Stegostoma tigrinum: one gene and its partners. The protein of the gene in region 2 purifies or fractionates together with the protein of the main gene of each other region. This does not show direct contact. Links are inferred from orthologs where the notes say so. Each region holds a gene or a part of one and is shown on either strand. Other genes may lie near its edges.

The links.
Region 1: the proteins of sqstm1 (region 2) and htt purify together in Homo sapiens (affinity purification with western blotting; 4 studies listed by BioGRID and IntAct, with this or other methods). This does not show direct contact. The link is inferred for Stegostoma tigrinum from reciprocal best matches to the Homo sapiens genes SQSTM1 and HTT.
Region 3: the proteins of sqstm1 (region 2) and wdfy3 purify together in Homo sapiens (affinity purification with western blotting; 4 studies listed by BioGRID and IntAct, with this or other methods). This does not show direct contact. The link is inferred for Stegostoma tigrinum from reciprocal best matches to the Homo sapiens genes SQSTM1 and WDFY3.

Annotation. Positions count from the first base shown.
Region 1 is NC_081356.1:129,589,898-129,599,866, forward strand, and holds the start of htt (huntingtin), read right to left. Parts: upstream 6,401-9,969; 5' UTR 6,170-6,400; coding exon 6,081-6,169; intron 1-6,080.
Region 2 is NC_081366.1:11,450,818-11,460,786, reverse strand, and holds the start of sqstm1 (sequestosome-1), read right to left. Parts: upstream 7,076-9,969; 5' UTR 6,388-7,075; intron 1-6,387. Other genes in the region: mgat4b (alpha-1,3-mannosyl-glycoprotein 4-beta-N-acetylglucosaminyltransferase B), read left to right, coding at 7,793-7,883. UniProt on the Homo sapiens protein: Molecular adapter required for selective macroautophagy (aggrephagy) by acting as a bridge between polyubiquitinated proteins and autophagosomes.
Region 3 is NC_081354.1:74,046,438-74,056,406, forward strand, and holds the start of wdfy3 (WD repeat and FYVE domain-containing protein 3), read right to left. Parts: upstream 6,360-9,969; 5' UTR 6,031-6,359; exon of another isoform or gene 5,696-6,030; intron 1-5,695. UniProt on the Homo sapiens protein: Required for selective macroautophagy (aggrephagy). Acts as an adapter protein by linking specific proteins destined for degradation to the core autophagic machinery members, such as the ATG5-ATG12-ATG16L E3-like ligase, SQSTM1 and LC3.

The DNA of each region.
Region 1 (9,969 bases), on a different chromosome or scaffold from region 2:
ATGATTTTCTCATTTTCAGTAAAAGAAATCAAAGAGGGCCACATCCTTTTGTAAAATACCAAAATATATCACAATCATTTACTGGTTCCTCACTGCTCATAAACAGCAGGTAAAACATCTTTGGATTCGATTAGCTCTCACCTTTAGGACTGCAGGCTGCAGGATTGAAACAATATTTGAACCCAATCACCACTGGCATTTCTACTGGACCTTTAACATTGCATAATGTCATTAAACATTTCATGTAAGTGCTATCAAATGTTCACTGCAATCCAGATCAGGAGATATTAGAACTTGTGGCCAAAACCCTAGTCAAGGTGGTAGGTTTTAAAAGGAGCCACCTGAAAGAAGTTAGTAGAGAGACAAATACTTTTCTGAAAAGAATTACAAGTTGTGGCCTTGGCAGTTGAGAGCACAGCTGCCAAGTGCTGGTGTAGTTAAAATTGGGGATGCACAGACTATGAGAATTGGAGGAGGTTGCAGAGGCTTAAGAGCTTACGGAAAGGAGTGACATGACAGTTTTTCAGAGATCCAAAAACAAACTTGAGAGCTTTAAAACACGGAGGATGTCTAGCCAAAAAACAAAAGACATAATGAGCTTTTCCAGCAATTTCTATTTTTCTGACTTGCAGCACCTGCAGTTCTGCATTTCTACAAAAAAAAGGATTAGTGTGAAAAAGTGTACAAAGTCACCATTCATTGGCACCAGCTTATTTACACCATAATTTCTTTAAAAATCAGAACCATAATTTTAAAAAAGTAGAAAGAGCAAAATGAGAGAAAAATTCCAGATCTTGCAAACACACAGTCAGAGACATACAGCACAGAAATAAACACTTGAGTCTAACTTGCCAAATATCCTAAATAAGTCTAGTGCCATTTGCCTGCAATTGTCCCATATCCATCTAAACCTTTCCTATTCATATATCCATCCAGATAGCTTTTAAAAAATGTTGTAATTGTACCAGCCTCCACCATTTCCTCCGACAACTCATTCCATAAAGAAAGAAAAAGTCGTATGGCCTGGAGTCTCAAACAGCCTGCCAGCCTCAAAATCAATTACCAGAAGAAGTTGTATTCTTGCTGCCACCCCAATCACCAGGCATTGCAACTTAGCTACTGCTGCTTCCACAAATCCAATCACTGGGATGTCATCAGCTAGTATAACGAGATATGAAACAACACAAGATCCTCAGGAGTATTATTGGGAGTTGTTGAAAATGAGCTCAGATTTATGGAGGATGCAAAGCCTGCCCATAGAACAGAAAGGGAAGAATGAAGATCACTGTTGCAATGCTGAATTTTCAAGATTACCTTCCTTATTCAAAGGACTAAAGTTGCAACTACCCATGAAAATGCCAATAATAAGGCCATTGAGATAATATTGTGAAAAATGGATGAAGCAGCTTCCCGCACCTGAACCTATGTTAAACTGCTCCCAGGCTCGAACAAATTGGATCCAAAGGTCTGGTTCCAAGCTGTATGACTTTAGCATATATGGAATGAACTGCCAGAGGAAATAATAGAAACAGAAAATAGGTGCAGGAGTAGGCCACCACCTTTCAATATGATCAAGGTTGATTTTACAATTTCAGAATCCCACTCCTGCTTTCTCTCCATACCCCTTATTCCATTTAGCCACAAGGGCCACATTCAGCTTCTTCTTGAACATTTCTAATGAACTGGCCCCAACAGCTTTCTGTGGTAGAGAATTCCACAGGGTTCACAACTCAGTGAAAACATTCTTCTTCATCTCAGTTCTAAATGGCTTATGCCTTATTCCTAGACTGTGACACCGAGATCTAAATTTCCCCAACATCAGGAACATTCTTCACACATATAGCCCGTCCAGGCCTATCAGGATTTTACACGTTTCTAAGAAATCCCCACCGATTCTTTTAAATTTCAGTGAGTACAAATCCAATTGATCCAGTCTTTCTTCATGCCTCAGTCCTGCCATCCCAGGAAAGAGTCTGGTGAACTTTCACTGCACTCCTTCAATAGCAAAAATCTACTTCCTCAGCAACATTGCAGCAGCCAGTCATACAGCATGGAAATGGACCCTTTGGTCTAACTTGTCTGCGCCAACCAGGTTTTCCCGAACTGAACTGGTCCCATTTGCTTGTTCTTCCGCAGACTAGGAGACCAAAACTGCACGACGCTCAAGGTGTGGCCTCACCAAGCCATAACTGCAACAAGACTTGCTATTCCTATATTCAAATCCTCTCATTCGTTCATAGAGGCAAGTTCAGTTACAACATTTAAAAGATATTTGAACAGGTATATGAATAGGAGAGGTTTAAAGAGATGTATGCTAAGCTCAGGCAACTGAGACTAGTTTAGTTTGGAAAACCTGGTCGGCACAGACAAGTTGGACCGAAGGGTCCATTTCTGTGCTGTATGACTCTATGACTGGCTGCTGCAAAATTGCTGAGTCAGAGCTGAGGGAACAATCTCTCACTGTTTGGAAGCACCATGTCCATCTGTGTTACTTTTCATAATAAAGTAGTCATCTTAGTCCCAGCTTACCATACTACTGCTCTCTCATTAAAGCTGGTGGTTTAACCTGAGGGTCACCACACTTCAGCAATACAGGTACTGCACCTGAACTGTTGGCACCACTCAGATTGCAAACTAGTCAGTCACTCGGTCATCTGGGTTACAACTCACTGGTTATCTAAACCCACTGGCAATGCACCATGCCTTACTTTGAAATAATTCAACTTTTTGTTTTATATTTGAGTACTACTGACAGTGTCACATTTATTGCCCATCCCAGGTAAACCTGAGAGATCTGCTGGACCACTTCTGAGGGCACCAACAAGTCAACAATACTTCCAATTAATAAAAAAAAACATTTAGCCTTTCTTTTCCCCAGGCAGTTTAAACTGAACGACAAGTTACCGAAGGCTTTCACTTACCACTCACCACAAATTAAAAAACAAATTTCAAAATTCAAAAACTGGAAAGGTTTACAATTATTTCCTATGCTATCTCTGAACAATTTATCTGGGCAGGTAAAAATTACATTTTCCATATTAATTCACATTTTTTAATTGCAACTTTATCACTTAGTTTCAAAAACTGCACGAGGCCAATTCATTAACTGTCAAATCATTTTTCTGACATTATGAATAAAAAGTGCAGAAAACCATATTACTAAGCTAGCAATTAGGGCCAGGGGTATAAATGGCAAGTACCGTTGATAGCAGTAAAGGTACTTTGCATTACAGTGAAGTAAGCAGGGTTTTCACTGTTTATGCCCGAGTAACAATTTATTAACTATATTAAAAGGTGATTAAATTAATTCCATCCTTATTTTCTAAAGGCAACCATAAAGTGCACAATAAGGCGGCACGAGATAGTGCAGAGGTGGGAGTTACCATCAGGTGGAGGAATTTTTGATGGAACAGGCTTGATGATTTGAGTTTATGAATGCCTTTTTGCCACTCAGCACTCCACACAACTACTCAAAGGAAAATTCTTGGCTAAAAGTCAATTCAAGAACTGTTTGACTTAGCATTTTGGCTCCCCTTTGCTCCTGACTCCAAGATTGATCAGAATTTACAAGTGAAAAGTCATCTCCACCACCACAGACAACAAAAGAATATAAAATCACGGAGAGACTATTTAGAGATTACAAGAATTTGCCTTTCCTCCAGCCCAAGCTACAAAGGATCTTTCAATCCTATTACTGATTTGCAAATAAACATCCATATAAAAAGATATAAACTCTGCTATGGCAAAGTGATCAATAGAGAACGCCCAGGCTCTTGTCAGACACCATTAACATCTTTAAGGTTACAACAAACCCACGCAGTCACCTGCTTAACAACCACTGGCAAACATCAGTGGTTATATGCAAAGAATAAAGTCCAATTTGCAATAAAGCAATATCTTTTGATCCTTTCCAGAAATATGAGCAATGCTGACGATCCCAGCAATTGCTGCCCATCCATAACTGTTTTTGAAGTGACTAACTTAATAAGTCATTTCAGAAGACAGCTAGGAGTCAACAACATTGCTGTTGGTCTTGAGTCACATGTAGGTCAGTACAAGTAGAGATAGCAGCTTTACTTCCCAAAAGAACCCTTGTTAGTTTCGTGATTTCCCAATTAAGCAAGAAAATATACTGTTTGTAATAAATATTGGACATGAGATAATGGTGGCAATTCAACATATTTCTCACAGGATTACCTGAACTTGATGTCTTGTATTTCAAGGAGGCACTGTCCTCGTGGATATCATCCATTTGCCAATATGCTATACAAACAGGTATCCTTGACTTTCTAGAACTGCAGCACATTCATTGAGTTCCGCTTCCAAAAGCAGAAATTACACTTCCAGAAAAATATTTACCTTGGAAGATGTCTGCATTTTAAATAATGCAGAAGTGGAAATAAACAATCAATCATAGTTATAGCTCGACTGCATCTTAAAAATCGCAAAGAGGCACACAAGGCCTGGAGTCTCATATTACACAGATCAATCAGCAAGTATTTCAGTGTCAATGCACAGAAATCCAAGGATTTCACCAAGGTCCAGTATCAAATGCAGATCTTTATCAAAAACATAAAAAGATAACATGCTCACCAGGCGATGTACCTTCCACTTAGTTTTGTCAATTTCACTTTTTATGTTACCTGCCCCACCCAACTTCCACTAATTTTATCATTATCTTCACTCATTCATGCACAGCAAAATGCAATATCTCTCTTCAGAATTGCACCAAGTGCAAAAAGTGCTACAGAGCTGGATTCACAAAAAGTGACTGAACATGCTGGGCAAGTGGAAATCCTGGCAGTTAAAATATTCTTTCCCCATCTCCCTGCTGAGTTTCTATGAGAAGTATGACAACAATGCTGTTGTGTATGGATAAAGACCAAGGAAACATCACGTATTGATATCCCTTCCACCACTCCACGTTCCACAACCTGAGTTTTCACGTCATTGTAAACAAAAACTCAGCATTGCCCAATAAATCCAAAGCCATTTCAACATCATTGTCTGCCTCTACAACAAATATTGATATATTCCCAGGGAAAACAAGAAACTGATATACATCCATAACTTACACACACTGTACAAGTTGAAAACTAGAAAGTAACAACAAAAACTAGGAACATTCAGCAAGTCAGTCAGCATATGGAGATCAAAAACAGTAGCACTTTAGGTGTAGGATCTTCAGCAAACATTACCTCATTTGTTTTTGCCCCACATGCTGATTGGCACAGCAAGTGCTTACAGTATTGTTTCACACTTGTAGATTTGCAGTTTATTTTTGTTATTCCTTCCCATCTCTAACCATCCAGCAAAGCAGAAACATCTCACATGCACCACTGCAACAGGAGTCATTTCAATATATACAGAAATAAGACAATAAAAAGGAGTGACTAATGATCATCTCCCAGATTTCTTAGCCTGGAACTATATCTGATTTGTGCACAAGTGTAATTGTATACAAGTTGTCTATCATTTATTTCCAGCCACTTGGGTACCAATGTCAACACACCTGGTTTGTATGTCAGACAGTCAGTGTTCACTTATTATACATGGGTGTATCAGTACTGTTCTACATCAGCATGGCAAGCTATAAGCTTGCACACCAGCATGTGTTTTTGTACATTGGTACATCAGTATACGATTTTACATATTGGCGTGCCAGCACATTTTTTTGTACACTAGGACGTCAGGGCCCGGGTAGAGGTGGGGCGGGGGGGTGGTGGTTCTAGGTGGGATGCTCTTCAATGGGTCAGTGCGGTTTCAAGGGGACAAATAGCCTCCTTTCACCCTGGAGGAATTCTATGGGTTCCACGGCATGTTTTGGTACATAATCACACTCTGACACGCCAGTGTACAGAAGGACACCATGAAATGCCAATGCACACCAGACGTCAGGGTGCGATTTTTGTACATTGGAATCCATCCCACAGTGAAATTTTGCGTTAGTTATTTAATCCTTGCGCGCACGCGTTTTGCTGTTTGTAGATCTCTGTAAGTACTTGAATGTCAGCGGGATTCACCAGCAGCTCCCCTACAAACCATCCCCAGCCCTCTCTCACCAGGATCGTTTTACTCACGGTTTCTGCCCCGGCTCCTCACTGGACGGTCCCTGCTGGAATGACTTTAGTGACTCGAAGGCCTTCATCAATTTCTCCATGGTTGCCATTTTATTAGGCAGAGAGAAAAATATAATGGGAGCGGAGCAGGAGAAGCGCTCAGGAAAAGCACTTCTTGCCAAGTCAATTCGAGCACCAAACACACCAAACCAGTCTACTCCACGTCAAAGCGTATGGACAGCTAAGAGGCTTCTAACCGCAATATACACGAAAACAGACTTGGTCACAGTCACCAAAACCGGCAAACACCGCCATCTTGCCAAGGGTAATGGCCCACAACCAGTCCCCTTCAACCAAACCTGACGGCACCAGCCACCCCGCCTCCAACCGATTGACTGACGGCCCCGTTCACCAATAGACAATCGACATTTGGCCCCAAGGACCAATTGGAATACAGTGGGTGGGGCAGGTCCAAATTGGAGCGCCGAACCTTACGTCATCCCCACGCGCGCGGACTGCTGGTTGATTGAAATATTAACCAATCGACTATCGGTATTTGTGACCACTGGGCCAATGAAAACCGTTTGTGTCTGGGAGACATTGGACCAACCGAGGCAGCGGACACGATGCTTGAACGCCCTTCAATTCATTGATGGACAGACGAACCAATCCACGGTCGGAAAGTACCGGGAGTTTGAAGACCGGACAGATCGTCACCGGTTTAATTGATGGATTGGTTAACCAGTAAAGAACGGACAATGACAGTGATTGATGGATTAATTGGCCAATCTATATTTGGAGTAATGACGGCGAGCCGGAGGCGGGACTAAATGTGAATTTAACGGCTGGCGCCGCCTGATGGGAAAGGGATGAGTGATGGTTGTGTTGACCAATCAATGGCCAGGTTCGAGCCAACGAGGAAGGGGAAGGCTGGCTGTTTAGGTTGTCTATTTAAAATAAATATAGATTCAGAAGTTTGGCTTGACGACATCGTGGTCTAACTTAGGAGTTGGTTGATGGCTCCGCTAAAGAACCTTTCCATTTGTCTGGAAGTTCATTCCCTTCCATGTGGCAGTTGAACCTGACCATAGTGAGCAAGAGTCCATTGGCCACCTCCTTGTTTGACATGATTTCGTGACTAAGCTAAAGGGAATGTCAGCAGTGAGATACAAGTTCGTTCTTGCTAAGACCTTGCTTGCGTTTTGACATGGACTGCTTCAGTACCTGAGAAGTCAGGAATGGTGCTGAATGTTGTACAATGACCAGTTATAAATCATACAGCACCAGGTGAATTTACTAAGCAACTTCATTTGACAAAGGAGCTGCACTCCAAAAGCTTGTACTTTCAAATAAACCCTGTTGGCCTATAACCTGGTGCCCTGTGACTTATGACTTTGTACACCATAGTCCAACTCCAGTACCTCCACATCGTAATAACCAGTTAGCTTGATCTCTGTAGTGGAGAAGTTACCAGAGCCAATCATAAAGGAAGAGAGAACTGAACACTTGGAGAAACAAACCTGAATTCACCAATGTCAGCATCATTTCATGAGGGCAAGCCACGCTTGACAAACTTGCTGGGAAATCAAATCAGCAAGGCGAGTCATGGGAATCTGGTGGATGTGGTGTATATATAGACTTCCAGAAGGCGTTTGACAAGGTTCCACATAAAATACTGACCCAGGGAATTAAGGGTAGAGTAATGGCTTGGATAGAGAGTTGGCTAACTGACTGAAATCAGAGGCTTGGGGTAAATCAGTCCTTCTCTAAATGGCAAACTGTAACTAATGGTCTCTCAGTCCTCAACTATTATATAAATGATCTGCCAGCAGGGACAGAGTGTAACATAGCAAAACTCGCAGATAACATTAAAATACATGGGAAAGCAGCCTGTGACGAGGAGGTAAAGAGTTTATAGATGGATATTGACAGGCTAGGAGAATGGGCCAGAATCTGGTAGATGGGGTTTAATGTGTATTAAGTGTGAGGTTGTCCATTTTTGGCAGGAAAAATAAAAGGCCAAATTATTATTTAAATGGGAAGCACATTTAAAGTGTGTCAGTGCAGAGGGATGTGGGCATTTTTGTGCATGAATTGCAGAAAGTGGCTCTGCAGATGCAGCATATACTAAGAAAGGCAAATGGAATCCTGACATTTATAGCAAAAGGACTGGATTAAAGAACTGAAAATGTACTGTTAAAATTATATATGGCTTTGGTGAGACCTCAGCTTGAATGTTATATCCAGTTTTGGTCTCCTTACTTTATGAAGGAATGTAGTGCACTAGAGGCAGCTCAGAAGAGATTCATCAGGTTGATTCCATGGATGAATGGACTGTCATACAAGCAGCACTTGTACAGCTTGGGCTTGTACTTACTGGAGTTCAGAAGAATCAGAGGGATCTGTTTGAACGATATAAAATGCTAAAGGGAAGTTGAACAGATGATCCCCACTGTGGGGCATTCTCGAACAAGAGTTTATAGATATAAACTGAGAGGAGGTAGGTTCAAAACTGAGATGAGCAGAAACTACTTCTCCCAGGATTGCAAATCTGTGGAACTCATTGCCCCAGAATGGAGTGTAGGCAGAATCAATAGACTTGAGAAGGAAATAGATATGTTGATGGAAAGTTGGATAAAGTGTATGGGGAGCAGGCAGGAGAATGGAGTTGAGACAAGGAAAAAACAGCCATGATCATGATGAATGGCAGAGTGGACTCAAAGGGCTGAATTGCCTACACCTGCTCCTAATTCCTATGTTCCTATGATTCTCGATCAGTAGGGTTTACAGGGAAAAGGCAGGAAACCGATGTGAGGAATGTCAGATCAGCCATGATCTGATTGAATAGCAGAGGAGGCTCAAGGGGCTGAACAGCTTATTCCTGTTCCTATTGCTTCTGGTCATAAATCTGCTACTCCTAAAACTATGACCTCTCATTCTAGTTGTCAAGGTCATTTACTCCCCATCACTTGACTTTGATGTAGAGAAGAAATATAGAATATGAAAGTAGATTGTGAATAAATAAACATAATAAAATGTGAGAAGGCTAATTACAACAGTATTAGGCAGAAGCTGGAGAAATTAGATTTGGGGGTGGCTCTTTGACAGTAAATCCACATCCGATGTATGGGACCCTTTTATGAACTAGTTGATCAGAGAATAGGATCAGCATATGAGGATGAAAGATAAGAATGGTAAGATTCAGGAACCCTATGACGGCAAGAAATGATGAAAGATTTTTCAAGAAGAGGAAGAAAGAGTATGTAACTTTTGTGAAACTGAAATTGGACAATTCCCTTGAGGAATATAAAGGAAGCAGGAAAGAACCTAAAGAATTGCGAGGATTGAGAGGACCCATGAAATGTTCTTGGCAAGTAGTATTGAGGAGAATCGCCAAGGCATTTTATATGTATATTAAGAGGAAGAGGATAGCTAAGGAAAGATTTATTCCACTCAAGCACAAAGGACGGAATTTACAAATGGAGCCAGAGAAATTGGGTGAGACCTTAGTGAGTATTTTACATTGATATTCACCAAGGAGAAAGACATGTAAGACATAAGATTAGGGAGGAATATATTGATATTCTTGGAGATGTCAATATTAAGAAGCAATAAGTCTTGGGTGTCTTGTAAAACACTTAGGCAAACAGGGATCTGCGCACACAGATCCTGTGCAGACCAGCTAGCGGGAGTACTTGCAGACATCTGTAACCTCTCCTTTCACTGATCTGATTTTCCCACCTGCTTCAAGAAGACCACTATCATCCAGGTGCAAAAGAAAAATCAGACAGCGTACCTTAATGACTACCACCCAATGAATCTGACATCCATCATTATGAAGAGCTTTGAGAGGTTAGTCATGGCACATATCAACTTCAGCCTCCCAGATTGCCTTGATCCACTACAAATT
Region 2 (9,969 bases):
TCGTCTTTCATATAGGATGCACCACAGAAGCAGCTATTTGGTGCAAAAGTTCCAAGCTGTTATTTATGTTCCAGATGAACTTCTCTGCACCCTCATGATTCCTAGCTTCATGGTTTGTTTCTTCTAAATTCTCCTTAAATGAATCAAATATATTCCCTCAATTGCTCTCTGCAATAATGAGTTCCAGATTCTAACCATTTTTTGGATAAAGACATTTCTTTTGAATTTTCTTCTGGATTTATTTGTGACTGTCTTAACTTTATAATCTCTAGTTTTGTTCTTCCCAACAGTGGAAGTATGTTCTCTACATCTTTTATCACTTCAAACTACTTCTGTAAATCCTCTCAGAGATAATGAGAACTGCAGATGCTGGAGAATCCAAGATAACAAAGTGTGGAGCTGGATGAACACAGCAGGCCAAGCAGCATCTCAGGAGCACAAAAGCTGACATTTCGGGCCTAGACCCTTCATCAGAGAGGGGGATGGGGAGAGCGTTCTGGAATAAATAGGGAGAGACGGGGAGGCAGACCGAAGATGGACAGAAAAGAAGATAGGTGGAGAGGAGAGTATAGGTGGGGAGGTAGGGAGGGGATAGGTCAGTCCAGGGAAGACGGACAGGTCAGGGAGGTGGGATGAGGTTAGTAGGTAGGAAATGGAGGTGCGGCATGAGGTGGGAGGAAGGGATGGGTGAGAGGAAGAACAGGTTAGGGAGGCAGAGACAGGCTGGGCTGGTTTTGGGATGCAGTGGGGGGAGGGGGATGAACTGGGCTGGTGTGTGATGCAGTTGGGGGAGGGGACAAACTGGGCTGGTTTTGGGATGCAATGTGGGAAGGGGAGATTATGAGATCACATGGGCCCCAGCTATGCCTGCCTTTTTGCAGGTTACATGGAACAGTCCCTCTTCCGCACCTACACAGGCCCCAAACTCCACCTCTTCCTCCGTTAAATTGATGACTGTATCGGCGCCGCATCTTGCTCCCCAGAGGAACTCGAACAGTTCATCCACTTCACCAACATCTTCCACCCCAACCTCAAGTTCACCTGGGCCATCTCCAACATATCCCTCACCTTCCTGGACCTCTCAGTCTCCATGTCAGGCAACCAGCTATTAACTGATGTCCATTTCAAGCCAACCGACTCCCACAGCTACCTAGAATACACCTCCTCCCACCCACCCTCCTGCAAAAATTCTATCCCCTATTCCCAATTCCACCGCTTCCGCCGCATCTGCTCCCACGATGAGGCATTCCACTCCCGCATATCCCAGATGTCCAAGTTCTTCAAGGACTGCAACTTTCCCCCCTCAGTGGTCGAGAACGCCCTTGACCGCGCCTTCCCGCATTTCCTGCAACACATCCCTCACACCCCGCCCCCGCCACAACCGCCCTAAGAGGATCCCCCTCGTTCTCACACACCACCCCACCAACCTCCGGATACAACGCATCATCCTCCAACCACTTCCGCCATATACAATCCGACCCCACCACCCAAGACATTTTTCCATCCCCATCCTTGTCTGCCTTCCGGACAGACCACTCTCTCCCTGACTCACTTGTTTGCTCCACACTGCCCTCCAACCCCACCACACCCGGCACCTTCCCCTGCAACCGCAGGAAGTGCTACAGTTGCCCCCACACCTCCTCCCTCACCCCCATTCCAGGCCCCAAGATGACTTTCCACATTAAGCAGAGGTTCACCTGCACATCTGCCAATGTGGTATACTGTATCCATTGTACCCAGTGTGGCTTCCTCTACATTGGGGAAACCAAGCGGAAGCTTGGGGACCGCTTTGTAGAACACCTCCGCTCGGTTCGCAATAAACAACTGCACCTCCCAGTCGCGAACCATTTTAACTCCCCCTCCCATTCCTCAGACGACATGTCCATCATGGGCCTCCTGCAGTGCCACAAGGATGCCACCCGAAGGTTGCAGGAACAGCAACTCATATTCCGCTTGGGAACCCTGCAGCCCAATGGTATCAATGTGGACTTCACCAGCTTCAAAATCTCCCCTTCCCCCACCGCATCCCAAAACCAGCCCAGCTCATCCCCTCCCCCCACTGCATCCCAAAACCAGACCAGCCTGTCTCTGCCTCCCTAACCTGTTCTTCCTCTCACCCATCCCTTCCTCCCACCTCAAGCCGCACCTCCATCTCCTACTTACTAACCTCATCCCACCTCCTTGACCTGTCCATCTTCCCTGGACTGACCTATCCCCTCCCTACCTCCCCACCTATACACTCCTCACCACCTATCTTCTTTTCTCTCCATCTTCGGTCTGCCTCCCCATCTCTCCCTATTTATTCCAGAACCCTCTCCCCATCCCCCTCTCTGATGCAGGGTCTAGGCCCGAAACATCAGCTTTTGTGCTCCTGAGATGCTGCTTGGCCTGCTGTGTTCATCCAGCTCCACACTTTGTTATCTGGAAATCCTCTGTCAGGTCACCCATTAGCCTTCGCTTTTCAGAAATAAAAAGCCGTAGTCTATTCAGTTATTCCTGGTTCCACTATTATCTAATCATAGCGAGGCGATCATGTTCAATGGCTCATCTTTCTGCTTCTGCACTTATCTCCACTGTCTCCCAAGTATATGCCCCTGACCCTTCCATTTTTTCATCTACCACTGCAACAAAGCCAATGTGTTTACAATCTTCATCCACATTTGATCTCAGGATGATTTTTGCATCCCCAATCTTAATTTCTACACTATGTTGGCCATGCTTTCTGTGGTCTACACCACAAACTTAGGAATACCCTTCATTAGTCATTCTGCTGAAGCATCTCAAGAATGTTACTATATCAAAAGCACCAAATACATGAGTTTTTTTTGAAGAACAGACGACTATGGGGTGAATTTACACACATGGCAAAGAATCCTATCTATGGCAAAAATTACACAGGTCACAGTTGGTCTACTGTCATGTAGGCTGAGATTGACAACCACAACAGTCCAGAAATCCAACAGTGGATCCTCAGGCTATTATGTATTATTTACATGGTACTGCCGATGTGTTGTATTTGGATTTCCAGAAGGCAGATGACAAGGTACCTCACAAAAGGTTAAGTCATAAGACCCCACAGTATTGGATAGCATATGGGCATGCATAGAGAATTGCCTCACGGGCAGGTAACAGTGAATGGGCATAATTGTTTTTCAGGTTGATAACCTGTGACCGGTGGGCTTCCACAGGGATCAGTGCTGGAACCACAAATGCTTTCAAAATATGTTAATGAAGTAAATGCACTACGCCAAATTTGCAGACGGCATTAAAAAAAGACAGAAAGGCAGGTTGTAAGAAGATACAAACAGTTTACAGAGAGCTATTGATAAGTTAAGTAAGTGGGCAAATAGTTGCCAAATGGAGAATAATGTGGGAAAATGTGAAGTTGTTCATTTTGGAGGGGAGAACAAAGAAACAGAATTATTTAAATGGAGAGAAACTACAGAAAGCTGCAACAGGTGCAACAAGTAATCAGGAAGGCTAATGGAATGCTGGTCCTAATTTCAAGGGGTTTGAAGTCTTACTGCACCTCTACAAGATACTGCTGAGACCACATCTGGAGCTCTGGGAGTTGTTTTCATCCCCTTACTTAAGGAAAGATATCATTTCATTACAGGCAGTTGCAAGAAAGTTAACTAGGATGAATCCTGGTATTTTTTGTTTTTCTGATGAAGGGTCCAGGCCCGAAACGTCAGCTCTTGTGCTCCTAAGATGCTGCTTGGCCTGCTGTGTTCATTTAGTCCCACACTTTGTTATCTTGGATTCTCCAGCATCTGCAGTTCCCATTATCTCTGACTCCTGGTATGCAGCGATTGTCTTATATGATCAAAAGCAAACTGGTTCGGATTCTGCTCACTGGACTTTCAAAAAAATAACAGGTGATCTCAATGAAACATAGGATTCTTAAGGGACTTGCTATGATAAACGCTGAGAGGATATTTAGCATCATGGAAAAGTCTAGGACTAGAAAGCATAGCCTCAGAAGAAAGGGATGCCAATTTAAGACTGAAATGAGGAGGAACTTCTTCCCTCAAAGTGTTAAGAATCAATCCTTACATATGTTTAAGGCTGTGTTGGATATATTCTTGATCAGTTCAATCATGGGTTATGGGAAAAGGCCAGGAGGAAGGTCAGATCAGCCATGATCCTGTTGAATGGCAGAGCAGTCTCAATGGGCCAAATGCCTAAGCTTGTTCCGATTTCTTACAGTTTCAAATTAAACCATCAGCAGAACTGGAGCACTGAATATCGTATCCTCTGCATAGTCACAGATTCAGTTGGAAATCAGTGCTACAATCTTTGCCATACCTGAGAGTGCTCCTTCAAGTGGACTTGTAAGCATGCTCTGAGGAAGGGTCACCGGACCCGAAACGTTAACTCTTTTTTCCTTCACTAATGCTGCCAGACTTGCTGAGCTTTTCCAGCAACTTTGTTATTGTCCTTATAAATATGATTCCTCACTCTACTGGAGTCTATTCATGCTTCACAATAAACCTAGATAACAATTAATTGCTAATAAACTCATTTTCTGCTCGCTGGTTAATTTTACAGCTTGCTAAATAGATCATTCTGAAACACTACAGTACTTAATTTAGTTCTCACCAAGAACATTAATACTCTGAACAAACAATAGGTTCTCCAGTTTTCTTGGTTGATTTAATCAACCACATTCATTAGAAAATGCAAATCATGCTCGGATGTATACTTGCCAAGTCTTTCTTCCCTGTGAGCCACCACATCCCGCCTCCCAAACCTGCTTTTCAAGTAAGATGTTCAACTTTAATTTTCCGACATTTTATGGTCTGCAAAAACTGGTGACACGAATTGAACCAAAGCAAAAGACTGTAAGATATAGGATCAGAATTAGGTAGTTTGGCCCATCAAGTCTGTTCCAACATTGGATCATGTCTGATATGTTTCTCAACCTCATTCTCCTGCCTCTCCCACTAATCTTTGATCTCCGTACTAATCAAGAGCCTACCTGTCTTAAATGCACTCAATAACTTGGCCTCCACAGCCTTCTGCGACAATGAGTTCCACAGATTCACCACCCTTTAGCTAAAGAAATTCCTCATTTCAGTTCTAAGTGTTCATTCCTTCACTCTGAGGTTGTGCCCTTGGGTCCTAGTCCTCCTACTTGAGGAGGTATCTTCTCCATGTGTACCCTATTCAGGCTTCTCAGTATTCTCTAGGTTACAATGAAATTACTCCTCATCCTTCTGAACTCCATTGAGTATAGATCCAGAATCCTCAACCACTCCTCATATGACAAGACCTTTATCCCTGGGATCATAAATGACTAGAGACATAGAAAAAGACAATATAGAAATCAGAAGGCTCTTTGAGTCTGCTCTGCCATTCAGTAATGATCATGGACTGATCCTCTATGTCATCCAAGTTCTGAAGAGGAGTCATATTGGACTTGAAACATTCACTGCATTCCTCTCTTCAATAATATTGCCAGACTTGCTGAGTTCCTCCACCATCCTTGTCTTTACATCAGATCATCTCCATCCATTATACTTTGTTAAACCGGGGAGAGCCAGGGAATGTGTTTTATGTGGATTTCCAGATAGTCTTTGACAAAGCACCGCACAGGTGACTGTTAAATATTATAAGTGCCCATGGCTGAAAGGGGCAAGGTATTGGCATGGATAGAGGATTGGGTGGCTGGCTGGCAGTATGCAGAGTAGGGATAAAGAGGTCTTTTTCAGGATGTCAGCCAGTGACTAGTGGAATTCCGCAGGGGTCATTGTTAGGACCACAACTATTCACGTTATATATTATACGATCTGGACAAAGGAACTGAGGGCAATGTTGCTAAGTTTGCAGATGACACAAAGACAGGTAGAGGAATAGGTATGTTGAGGAAGTAGTGGAGGCTGCCGAAGGACTTGGACAATCTAAGACAGTAGACGAAGAAGTGGCAGATGGAACATAACATGGCAAAATCTGAGATTATGCACTTTGGTAGAAAGAGTAAAGACATGGACTATTTTCTAAATGGGGAAAGGTTTCAGAAATCTGAAGCACAAAGGGAATTAGGAGTCCTAGTTCAGAATTCTCTTCAAGTTGACATACAGATTCAGTTGGCATTTAGGAAGATAAATGTGATGCTGGTATTCATTTCAAGAGGGCTAGAACAAGAGCAGGGAGGAATAGTTGTGAGTAGTGGGATTATGAAAGACAAAAGATTCAAAACTGAAGTAAAAAGGCATTTAATTTTCAATAATGTCCAACCATAGTTAAAATTATAAGGAATGCGATTTTGAAATGTAACATTAATTTGAAGTGTCGAAGCGCTTGTTTGCTTTAATTAAGAGTTATCATTCTTTTAAAATAAGCAAGAACCATTTCACAATTTAACCACATGAAGAAGGGTAATACCTGAAACGTTGGCTTCACATGTCCTACTGTTGCTACCTGGCTTGCTGTGTTCTTCCGGGCTCCTGTTCGTCTACATTGGAGTACAGCATCTGGAGATTTTTTGTCTTTCACTTCTTCAAACACCACCAAATGAAAAAAAAACCTGCTCCTTGATCATCTGAATTTCATTTTATGGGATCCGGCTGTGCATAAATGGACTACCCTGTTCCCTTTCATCATATCGATCACCAAACTTCAACAAAATATACTTCACCGGTTGTAAAAGCGATTTGGGGCACCGTGCAATCCTGAATTCCTCTGTATAAATACACACTTTTCTTCAAATATGGTGCCACTTGAGGCAAAATGGCTATTTAAAATGAAGAAAACGTTTTAATTTCCAAGGCAAAAGAAATTAACACCAAAAGACGAAACACTTCCCCTCAGTCGCCATCCTTGGTTGCCATGGATACTGCAAAGGCCAAGTGGTCAATTCAGCAACATGCCGGGGAGATCATTTTACACTCTCACAAAACCATTTTCACTCATCCCCACGCGACAGTCGATTTCCAGCTGCCTCCTCAAGCTTACCGACGAGGGTTTTATTTCAAGGCCAGATCGTTTTTGTTTACATTGTGATCGACGCTCCCACCGACTGACAGCTGCTTCGCACACATTTCAAAGAGGCGGGCCGTCGCTGGTGCGCGTGCGCTCTCGCGTCAGCTCCGCCTCCCTCCATCTCAGCGGGCGGGGAGCTCACGCGCGCCTTTCGGGTAGCCGGCGCCCGTGGGAAACGCGCATGCGCTGTCCATTGAGAACAAAGCGTGGCGCGGGATGAACACGGCAGGCCAAGCAGCATCTTAGGAGCACAAAAGCTGACGTTTCGGGCCTAGACCCTTCATCTGCTGTGTTCATCCAGCACCACACTTTGAATCTCCAGCATCTGCAGTTCCCATTAGCTCTGCGCAGTCCGTTGATGCGGGCGTCTCATTCAGCTTGTTGTCTCATGCCCCCTTCTCAGGATCACCCCACCCTCCTCCTCCCCTGCACATTTCTCCTCCCCTGCACATTTCTCCCCTTAACTCTCCCATCCACAAAGCCCCGCCTTCCCACCCCAAACCTTCTAACTCAATCTCCCCTCCCCCACACACCCACCCCGTTTCCACACACAGCCCCGCCTCCTACTCGCCCCGCCCCCGCGAACCTGATATCCATTCGCGGAGTGAGAGGCCGACGTATTGCGTTCTCGCCCGACGCCGCTATACAATCCGCGGCGTGTGTATGTGGGGGAAGTAGTGCGAGCGAAGCGGTGCTGGAAGGAGCGGGAGCCTCGGGTCCTGGTGACACAACCCCGAGAGAGGGGAAAAAAAAATGGAAGGCTTGCTTTAGATAATAGAATAATGCTAAACAATGCCTGCCCGGTGAGATGAGGCTCCGAAATGGGACTGTTTTGACGGCTGTGGTCTTGTGCAGCGTGGTCTCCGTGTCTTGGTACGCGGCGTTTTCCGCTCAGAAAGGTGAGAGAGGGAGACCCTCGAGGGAGAGAGAGGGAGCTGGATGTGAGGGAGTAATTAAATGGTCCAAAAGCAGCCGCTTGCTTTACTAGTTCACCACCCGTCATCCCCATTCACCCTTCAGCTCTCCCTGCCTTCCCTCCCTACATCTCCCTGCCTTCCCTCCCTACATCACCCCTCCTTCCCTCCCTACATCACCCCTCCTTATTCTTCAATCCCCCCCCCCCCAGTGATTTCCCCTTTTTCTCTTTATTTCAACACCTTGGGAATGTATTTGTTTGCGATGGTTTTTAAATATTTTATGCCGGACTTTTCCCTTTTTTTAAGTGGGATACAGAAGTCATTTGCCTTCTTTAACAATACCCCAGTTATTCTCTTTATTTTACCCCCCAACCCCACGAATAACCACATGTTTATTTGTGATGTGCTTCCATGTTTTATTCCAGATCTTTGCTTCCCCCCCCACACCCTTTTTTTTGTTAGGTGCGATGCAAAAGCCTTTTGCGGGAACCCAAAAGGATCTGGCCAAAAGGCTATCCCAGAAAATAAACAACACGGATTGCATGTGTTTCCGTCAGCACTGAGCAGTGGATCCATAGTGTCCCTCTGGGATGTCTTTTTTTTTAAAACCACTCCCAGTTCAATGGCAACACTAAAGTGTTTTTCTTTTTGTCATTCATCTCCTGGTTATCTTTCTCTTCCCCTCCCAATGTATTTTTTCCTAATTTCGGAACAACACTATCCACTTCCATCAGATTTGTGATTTGGCTCATGTTAATTCTCTGCGCTGCTTTACAGTCATGTTGAGACAAATTACAATGTTTCCAACCTGGGTTTCAATGTTAACTTTAAGTCGGCTTTTTTTTCTTTTAAAAAGATCCCTTTTTACAAAACGTGACGCCACTAGCGACAAACCATAGTAATTTATGTCATCGGATATATCCTTTTGGATGTGCTCTAAGCGAGCACCGTTTTGTTTTGTTGCTGTTGGAATCGCTTTCCGTTTTGGGACCACATTTGTTTTGTATCGTTGAGCCCAGTTCTGCTGAAGGGTCCTGGACCGAAACGTCGACTTTCCTGTTTCTCTGATGTTGCCTGACCTGCTGTATTCCACCAGCTCCGCGCTGTGTTGACTCTGATTCCAGCTTTGCAGTTCATGCTATCTCTTTATTTTGTTTATGATGTGAGTTTTGTACAAGAACTCCAAACCGCTGCTAATCCTTTCCCCGCCTCCGTTGAAGAAACGGCTTCCTTCGTTTTATATTGAAATGACGCTTTATGTTGGATTTACGAACCTCAGATGAGATGACGAAGCTTCGAAGTGTTTGTCTTTTTAAGGGTTAGTTAGAATTTTTGTCTGTACGACCCCACCATTTAATCTCCGCCTATTTTTTCCCGTAATGATTTTCAAGGCTCAATTTTAAAAAATATTGCGTTCGATTTCGCTATGCTTTTTAATAACTAGGGCCCTGTAAGTGAACTTAATTTTTGTTAATTTTCCGTGGGGTGTCGACGTCCCTCTACGTTCAGCATTAATTACCCATTTCCCAATAGCCATGGGTAAAATGGTGCTGGCTTCCTTCTTGAACTATTATAGTCCATGTGGTGTAGAAACACCTACAATGACAGGTGTATGGACTTCAGGGGTAGGGTTTTGGGTGGGTGCTTTACCAGAATATTTGGTCCATCAACCAGTTAGGTTTCCAAATAAAGATTGTACGTACTTTAAGGGAAAATTGAAGGGGGTGATTTTTTTTTGTGTGTGACTGTCACGTTTGCTCCTAGGTTGTAAATGATGTAGATGTGGTATTGCTGTTGAAGAAGCCTCCGCGAATTGCTGCAATAGTTTTTGAAGTTGTCTTGCCATTTAAGCAGTAGACTTTTGCATGGATCTCGGTGGGTTTAGCAGAGGACCCAGGTGCATGTCCAAGTGTGTCATTGATTTGTTATGATATGATTTGTATTTCTGTCTATTAGCATGCAAAATTTTCTATAATAATACACTCTTGTCATGTTGACAAGACGTTAAACAGATATTCCTCTCAGTATACCAATACTGAACATATTTCTGATGCACTAAAGTTTGTGA
Region 3 (9,969 bases), on a different chromosome or scaffold from region 2:
ACTGCACCAGGTTCCACCACTTCTTTCTGGCAGCTTGTTCTAAACACACTACCCTCTGCATGAAAAAGTTGTCCCTTAGGACCTTTTTAAATCCTTCTCCTCTCACCTTAAATCTATGCCCTCTAGTTCTGGACTACCCCACCCGGGGGAAAAGACATCAGCTATTTATGCCCCTCAAGATTTTATAAACCTCTAAAAGGTCGCCCCTTAGCCTCCGACACTCCAGGGAAAATAGCCCCAGACTATTCAGCCTCTCGCCATAGCAAAAACCCTCCAATTCTGGCAACACACTTGTAAATCTTTTCTGAACCCGTTCCAGATTCATTTCATTAAACTTAAGATTGCAAGGGATTTGCAGTGGATCTGGTTTATCCAGTGCTGTGACACTGCCCAGGATTAAAATCTCAAAATTACTTGTGCTAACTATAATTGAAGTGAAGGTATAACATTTCTCTGGTTGAGTCTGCTATATCTGAAACAGGCTAAGGGCTCAACTAAAACATCAGACAGTAGACTTTAGGAGTCATGTGAGGGTCCTTGAAAGGACTCAGAGGTCTACCAAAGTGATTCCAGGGCAGTGGATTTTATACACTCATGATGTAAATACCATCACAACAAGAGCAGGTCAGAGGCTATCAATCCTGAATCACGTAACTCACCTCCTGACTCCCCGAAGCCTTTGCACCATCTATAAGGAACAAGTCAGGTGTGTGATGGAATACTCCCCACTTTCCTGGATGAGTGCAGCTCCAACAACCCTCAAGGCTTTACACAATCCAGGAACAAAACAGCCCACTGGATTTGGTACCATATGCACAAGCATCCACTCCCTCCATTGATGCCACTCAGTAGTAGCAGTGTTTACTATCTACAAGATGCACTACAGAAATGCAATAAGACTTCTTAAACAGCACCTTCTAAACCCATGACCCACGTCCATCTAGAAGGGGAAGGGCAGCTGATACATAGGAGCACCACCTGCAAGTTCCCCTCGAAGCCACTCACCATCCTAACTTGGACATATCTCACCCTTCCTTCAGTATCCATGGGTCAAAATCCTGCAATTCCCTCCCTAAAAGCATTTTGTCTATCGACAGTACAAGGACTGCACTGGTTCAAGAAACAGATTGTCAACAACTTCTCAAGGAGCAATGAATATTGGCCCAGCCAGTGACACTCACGTCCCGTGAAAGAATAAAAGAAAGATTAGGTCAGAAGTTGAAGATGTTCTCCTTGGAGAAAAGGAGGTTAAGGGGAAAATTTAGTTGAGGTGACAAGTCTAAGAAGCAGTCCCAGTTGCTGATGGTACAAAGACAAAGGGGAGAAAGATTTAGCATTTTGAGCTGCAGATGCAAGGAGGGGAATGTGAGGAAAAACTTATCTACACAAGTGCTATCACTGACGATGAGATGATGATTTCAAGAGGAATTTGGATGGGCACTAAAGGGAAATAAACTTTCAGGGCCTTGAATTGCTCTAGCATTTAAGAACTGCAAATGCTGGAAATCAGAAACAAACAGAAACATCTCTGGAGAGAGAAACAAGAGTCAATGTTCAAAGACCAGTGGCCCTTCAGAGCTAAAACTGCAGATGTAGATTTAAAATAACAAAAACTCCTAAGGGTCACTGGATCCTAAAATGTTAACTGCTTCTTTCTTCACTGATGCCGCCAGACCTGCTGAGTTTCTCCTCAGCAATTTATGTTATTAGGGTATTTTGGGTTTTAGCTCAAACAGGAGAAAGAAAAACAATAGAAACAATTATTCAAACCAAGTTCAAATTAATACTACCCCAGAATAATGTCAAATGGTTTAAATATATTTGCCCACAAGAGGAAGCTTATCTCAGCCTGGTCTTACTGTTATGTATTTTAAAAGTCTTTGGAACACCTCTGAAGCAATACCTCAGAGCAGACTGTCATACTTATAGTACACATCCCATTTTACAGCAGCTAGAAAAGAAAAACAATTGCTCATACTTGGCTGGGGAAATATTTGTGCACACTAGTGAACACAAAATGGATCTGCCAATTTATTTTAGCAGGTGTCACCACTCATTCCCTGGCAGACAAACATGACTGGCTCCACCTAGAATAACCGAGTTTCTGCTCGTGTTGAAATTGAAAGTAGTGCTATCTATAGAAACACCAATGGATGCTACCTTTTTTTTAAAAATTCTCAATCTCTAGAGACCACACCCCCACCTCTTTAAGCATGTTGTTAACAAATATTAAATGTGGAATTTGTTGCCAATTTCAAAGCAATATTAATGGAAATACAAAATAAAATAATCCACTTCTAAACACAAGGAGGAAGTGCTCCTAAATAACAAAAATCCCATCTGAACTAAATTTCTCGTAAGAAAATTGGAAATATGCACAGCTCCCAGCACATCAGCAGAAAATTGCCAAAAATAAACATCTATGATGCGGCATCTTGATGTAATTTGTGCTGAACACAACAATGGCCAATTCACCAGATCTAAGAGGTTGCTGCTGAATTTTCCTCACTCCACATTATGCTGACCATAACATTTATCTAAACAGATATACAGTAATAACATTTAAAACTGTAAGTCATAGGTCAGTTCTAGCACCATTAATGATTTATGCATCATCTTTAATGTGGATGTATATTTAGAAAAGCACGAACATTAACAATGACACACAGTCAAAAACAGAAGTATTAGGAAAGCCCATTAGAAAGTTGGTTAGAAATAGTTTTTAAGACCTTAAAAACTGACAGAAAAACAGATTTTTGGGAGCAAACTTAAAAGACAACATGGCACAGTCAGTGAAGTAGTTCAGAGGTAAACTAACAGCTGGGAAAGCCTGTTAGGGAAGTTATTCAGCCCATCTGGTTTGTTCTTCTAAGAAAATCTATAAAACACCACCCGAAGACATCTTAAATTACTCCAGATGTTTCATATTAACTAATCAGGAGGCAAGATGAATCATTCTAGCACAACCCAACTGCAACAACAACTATATGAAAATTGTATTCAGTTTAAGACAAAACTAATGAGTCAAAGTAAAATATAATGATCAACTTCTTGGTCCAGTGGTATTAAAACAAAACAAAAAGTAGATGTCAGAACAAAGTTTTCCAAACACTATTCATTTAGACAGGACTAAACCTACCAAACCCCTTTTAAAATTAAATGACTGATACTAGGAAATCATTAGTATGCCATATTAGTTTCAATTTGTTTCCTCCTATTATTTCAGAGTTTATGCAGTGAGTAGTCCATTGTATAAACTTAGAACATCCAAAATTCAATGTTTCTTTATCAGATTTCATTCAAGGTAGTTGCAGGTTCACTTTGTCAAATAATTCATTGACATTTATCGAGGTGACATTTGAATAGCTACACAAGACATAATACCTCAACCAGACCAAGGAGAAAATTGCAGAGAGCACAGTCTTTTTTATAAAATGGCCTCCATAGTCATTCCCTTTACTCAATATTTCACAAAGCATAATCAGTCATATTTTATTTCCATGTTTAAATATATTTCCAGACCACTTTTGGAAGTAATAATTGCCAAAGAATTTCTTACTGACAAAATAATTTCCAACAAGCGAATAGATAGGAATCTTTTTTCCCAGCTCATACATGCCCCCCCATTACTTTGATGTCTAACCGAGCCCCTTCAGCTCTTAACTGACTTGATCACTATCTGGTTGTGAAACTTTAGGGTACTCAATATTAGCATTTTCTGACAGGCCACACTACCAAGAAGAACAAGTTTCCAGAAAATTGTCATAATCAACTTTCTGAAGAAGGTATGCATTACCAAGTTGTAAAGCACTCTTGCGTGCCTTGAGGCTTCAAGGGGGAGTCTTGTCAGTTTAAAAGTGATGTGAACCTCAGATCTAATGTTTCTCCAAACACTTAAAAGCCTAATAAACAATGATATATCATTGTGGCAGTCAGCACCTAGGTAACACTATCTGAAGATTATAACATCGAGCAAATTACCACAAGTCTCAAATAACATTTATATCAATTGATATAAATGTTGTCTGAAACACGGAATTAACAGACATTAAAAAATGCTAAAGGGGAAATGTGCAATTTTGAAAAATTCACTGTCAACATTTCTGATAGAGTTGACTATTTTCATGGTACAACTGGGGCTTTAACTGTTTATTTGGACACAGTGATAAAGTGTGCAGCTGGATGAACACAGTAGACCAAGGAGCATCTTAGGAGCACAAAAGCTGACGTTTTGGGCCTAGACCCTTCCATCAGAAAAGCTATTTGGACACAGCGCTGTCTTTTACTGTCAACATTCAACATTTCTCACTTAAGATCTACCTGTGATATTTAAGCTCCTCCCAAGAAAGGCAGAACAATGACTCTTTACACTCCTGAGCCCGAAGAACGCGGTTAGCTGGTAATGGGGATTACTAGATTGCTTGCAAAAATTCCAAGTCCTTAGGTAGGTTAGCCTCCTATTAAAGTTTTCAAAAAAGTTATTCCTAGGTTGTAGACTGTCATCAGTCAGGGTTCAATCAGGTAATTGTAAAAATTATAAAAGTTATAACTTGGAATGCCCTCCAGGTAATTTGCATTTGTAAACAATGACTGTTGGATATCATAACAGGAGAGAGAACCTCATATTTGTTAAGTTAGTCATTTCAGGTTTACAGCTTCAAACATGCAGTGAAATCCAACTATCAGGTCACACAAAAGATTAAAAGCAGTTCAACAGGATAATTTTTTTCCCAAAATTGTGTGTTTTATCCAACATTGAATTCAGTTGTTGTCCTTTGATATCATTATTGACAGTGCCATTGCCCTCCATAAGGGAATAAGAATTCTTACTGAATAAAAGTAAAGGTGCCAGCAAGACTGTGTTACAGTAATAAAAAAGTGGGGAAGACAAAGTTTATAACCAAGGTAAGTGAAGGGCTATTGAGCTCCCATTTGGTCCACGAGAGTCAAATCAAGATTTGATTACAACAGTTTGAATAGGCCTGCAGCATACTATGTTTATTGATATTTTCAGAACTAATCCCACAAATCTGCCAATACATTACAAATTACCGACCGATTTTCAATTGACTGTAAATAACAGAAAAGATACTTCTTGAATAATTAGTCTTCCTTAAATGAACCATTCTATTATGGTGAGCAGCAGTATTTGTTACTCGAGGGGTAACAAGGCCTGCTTTCTAGCAGTTAAACCTTTGAATTGGCTCATTGACTCAGATCTCGAAAAGCCAACAACTGCAGTTTCACACGTTGGCACCAATGGTACGATAAATACTCTGGAGAGTAAGTAATCCAAGTTCATACAGTTCCCTCCAATGCACGATACTTCAAGTAATGTTGAAATTAAAGGGAAAAAACACATTAAGCAAATTGCGGGTACATTTTAAACGTAATGATTAAAACCTTGTTGCTAAGGATGCAACGGATCCAGCAGAACGGTGTGAAGCCGAGATTTCATCAAATCAATATTGCATGAAGTTAGTACAGATGTCTCCTGCCCGAAAATAAAGCAGCTTTTCTGTAATCGCCGAAACCCCCGCGAGGAAATCGTTCATGTTTACGTTGAGATGTCTTTTTAACAATAATTTGGGATTGTTTCCAGTGGGAGAGCGAGAAATGAGAGCGGCCTAAAGCCAGAGCCAGGTGGAGGGGGAGCTGGGGGGGACGAGACTGAGGTGGTGGTGGTGGTGGTGGTGGTGGTGTTAGGGATGCGGCCGTCTTGCCGTCTTTCCCTCTTTCCATCCCCCGCCCGCGGTGACGGACGGGCTGTCTGGAGGGGTTGAGGGTGCCGTTGGCGACCCGAATGTCGGCTCCTTTTAAAACCCCGCAACCGGAAACCCGCCCTGCCGGAAACAGCCTGGAATCTAATAGGAGGGGAAAAGGGAAAATAAATGAAGCTGGATAAATAGGAGCCCAGCTTCACACGGCCAGGCTTTCCGGGATACTAGGATCCCTACCCCTGCCATTTCCAATTCACGGCTGCTTGAAGAAGACGAGATTGTTCCTTTTTTCCAAAAAGATTCAACTCACCAGGAAAAATAAATGTCCCGAGCGGACGAAGGAGAGATGAAGGTTGGTGCTTTTTTTTTCCTCGCCGTCCCCCCTTACCCTCCTCCTTTTCTCTCAATACTGGTGTTTTATCCTGTGAAGTCCCGCAAACCGACGGCGCAAAGGGATGTCAGAGCAGTCGGGAGGGTTGTGTCGCTGCCGTTCTTTCTTCTGGTGGCCATTTTCACCCGAGGCTGAACTGAAGAGCCCTGAGAGTGACACTGGGAAACATCGCCGGCTCCGCTCCCTCCTCCCAGGCACCGGGGTCCACCAGCAACCCAGCAACAGCGACCAACGAGCGCCCCCTCCGCTAGCCGCCGCTCACTGCGACTCTCCGAGGGGCAGACCGCTGCGCACGCGCGGATTCCCCACCCCACAGCCCCAGCCGAGGGTGGCCGATAGCGCCCCCTTCCGTCGGACCCCCGCATACTCTCCAGCCCGTGAGATGAAACGAGGAGGGCTTACGGCGGCTGGGCGGGTAGTGACGCTGGGGCGGATGCTGCGCACGCGCGCATCGCCCTCCACGCTCGGGGTGCGACTGCCAGCACCGCTCCCACGTGATCGATGAGGGGACTCCGAAGACCGAAGTTGTCTATTGTACACATGCGCACTCGCATTTTGACGGCTCGAATGATGGGGGGTGGGGAAACCGGCGTGTGCTTTTAAATACTGGCTCATTTCTCGCACTGGGTGAGATTGCTGTTGAAGATGTTTAAACGTTATTCGTGTCATAGTGGCCATCAGGTTAAACTCACAATTAGTCTGTAGTGGGACTATGGCGACTTCAACTTCGTCATCTACGGGCAGAAGGGCATCAATGATCATTCATAGAATTGACGCAGGATGGAAAAACGTGTTTGGCCCATCGTATCAGTCATCACACAACTATTCTAATTGTATTTTCCAGCACTGGCCAATAGTCTTCTGTCTATCGTGCTTCAAGTGCTCTTTGAAATATTTCTTCGTGATAATGGGAACTGCAAATGCTGGAGAATCCAAGATAACAAAGTGTGGAACTGGATGAACACAGCAGGCCAAGCAGCATCTCAGGAGCACAAAAGCTGACGTTTCGGGCCTAGACCCTTCATCAGAGAGGCTCTCTGATGAAGGGTCTAGGCCCAAAACGTCAGCTTTTGTGCTCCTGAGATGCTGCTTTGCCTGCTGTGTTCATCCAGCTCCACACTTTGTTATCTTAAATATTTCTTAAATATCTTCAGCCACCTACAAACTGGAAGAGAATAATCCTTGTTTGCGAAGAACGGCCAGTGATGAAGTGTCTAGAGGTTTCTGCTTTTACCACCTTTTAGCCCATGCGTTGCAGAAAATGTCCCCTAAACCTTGTGCACCTAACTTTAAAAATGTGCACCCTAATTGTTGATCCCTGTACAAAGAGGGAAAGTTTCTCCCTTTCCATGCCACTCTTAACTTTGTATACCTCAGTTAGGTTCTCCTCCATCGGCGTTTTCTGCTGCAAGGTAGATAACCTTGTCCTATCTAGGCTCCGTTCTTAGATGAAATACTCCAGCCAAGGCAACATGCTCTGCAGTGCAACCATATCTTTCTTACAGATTTGCAACCAGAACTGCATATAGTACTTCGGCTGCGACCTAACTAATGTTGCATGCAGTTCCATCATAACCTCCATGCTTTTGTATCGATTGTCTTGACTAATAAAGGTGTGTCCATATGCTGCCTTAACAACCTTATCTACCAGTCTTGCTGCCTCAAGGATCTATGGACACAGTACCAAAGTTCCTCTGATTTTTCTGTATTTTCTAACGTTGTACCATTCAATGTATACTCCCTAACTTTAGTAGTCCTCCCAAAGTTCACCACCTCATACTTGTCACAATTAAATTCCATTTACCACTTGCACAACAACAAAGAAATGACAGGCTTTGACAGTGACATGGTAATCCGAATAACTTCAATTATGGCACCTATTTCTGTAAATTGTAGCTAGTGGTTGTAAAAATCATTGTACTGGTCACAACTGATGTTAATACTGGATAGATCAGATTGCACAATAAGCTGTGACTTGATAGATCATGTTTAACAATGATCTCTCACTAAAAGGTAAGGACACATGGCTGTAGATTTGGTTTTAACAATAAAATCGAAATTTTTTAATAAAGCACAGGAACAAAACAATTCAAAACTTATCAAAATATAACACCATTTGGGCAGAATTGAACACATAGCAAAACAAAATCCTATTTCATAGTATAGTTTAACAAATTGTTCCCTAGAGTTAATTTATTCCCTTTACTCTTTAGAGCAATTTCCAGGAAACATTATATTTGCATCTGATTTTAGTCTGTTTTCATTCGAACTGATTTTAAAAACATTCAACAACATTAAAAGTAAATTATCCATCCTACATTCTGATAAGCTAATGGCTTAATATTTTCTCTCACTGCTAGTTCAAGCGGTAATATGAAGTATAGTTTGTAGACGAGCTGAAGCCAAGGGGTGTGTACAAATATAGATTCAGTTGGCAACATGTAGCTCACTAGCCTATGGACTAGTGATCAGTTATTGATGACAAGAGCCCCTGCCAGCTAACAAATATGCCTGTCAGGTAGTTGAATAGCTTAGGGCTGTGAATAAGGTAGTGAGAAGCCATCAGTCCTTCACCAGCCTAAGAGCTTTCTGTTCTCTGCAATAAACACTGCTTTAAGACTCAAGAAAACCAATTTATTTTTTCCTTGAGCAGTTGCTATAACCTATGACTTTTCATTAATAATCAGAGACCTTTTTCATGGAAGTCAGCCAACGTATGCCCCTTGAAAACCATTGAAAGCATCAGGAGAAGGAAGACAAAGAAGCAGCATTCTGATCAGCGTCAGAACCATCTTAGTAGACCATGTGATCAAAGAACCACTGAACTGCTTTCCCAGTTTTCCTTCTCTGTATAACTTCCACTATTTTCCTGTGTGTGTGTTCGTGTGAGAGAAAGAGAGGGGTAAAAGGGGTAGAGGGATGATTTATAAGTCAATTAAACGTAAACTACTAGAGATGTATGCCATAGGTTCATAATTACTTGCCTCTAGCTAGAGCCTATTTAATTCAATAATTAGTTATTTTTGTCAAGTACATGAACTTGGTCCATGCTTTGTGTGAATGTGGATCTGAAAGTTAGTTAGTTGGGGAATTCAGCATATTTTTAAAACTCTAGCTTTTGTGACAACTCTAGGAATAGCAAAGCTTCATTTCCAGTAAGCCACCCCAATGAGGGTAACAATATTAATGTACATAAATTGTACAGTATTCATCACAATGTGCAATTTTGCATTTTCTAAACTTCAAATCAGTCTACATGAGCTTTTGCCCATTACAACAGCATGTCCAACTTTATTGGCATTAATCCCAAATCTCACTGTCTCATTAGAGCATGGAATGATAGAGCACAGTACAGGCCCTTCGGCCCATGATGTTGTGCCGACTTATTATCCTACTCTAAGATCAAACTGCCCTGCCTACCCTACATTTCACTATCATCCATGTGCCTATTGAAGAGTCTCTTGAATGTCCCTAATGTATCTAATTCCACTACCAATGTTGGCAGTGCATTCCACATGCCCACCACTCTTTGTGTGAAGAACCTACATCTCCCCGTGCCTTAATCAGAAGGCAAACTCTCAAACATCAAGAAATTTGGCAAAAATATACAACTTTTTAAAAACTATTATATAGATTAGCTATTTTAATTCTAAATATAATGAAAGATACTTGAGTCCCATAATAGATAAGGTAATTTTATAAAATCTATATCACTGTCCAATTTAGGTTGTGACAAAGCAGAATTTCAGGGATCAATATACTGTGCACTGAGGATACCTAAAAAAAATGTCCAAGCCAAGATCGTCAGGCTATTTCTCAGGCATTCAGAGTGGCTGCCTAAAAGAAATATTGGCTGCA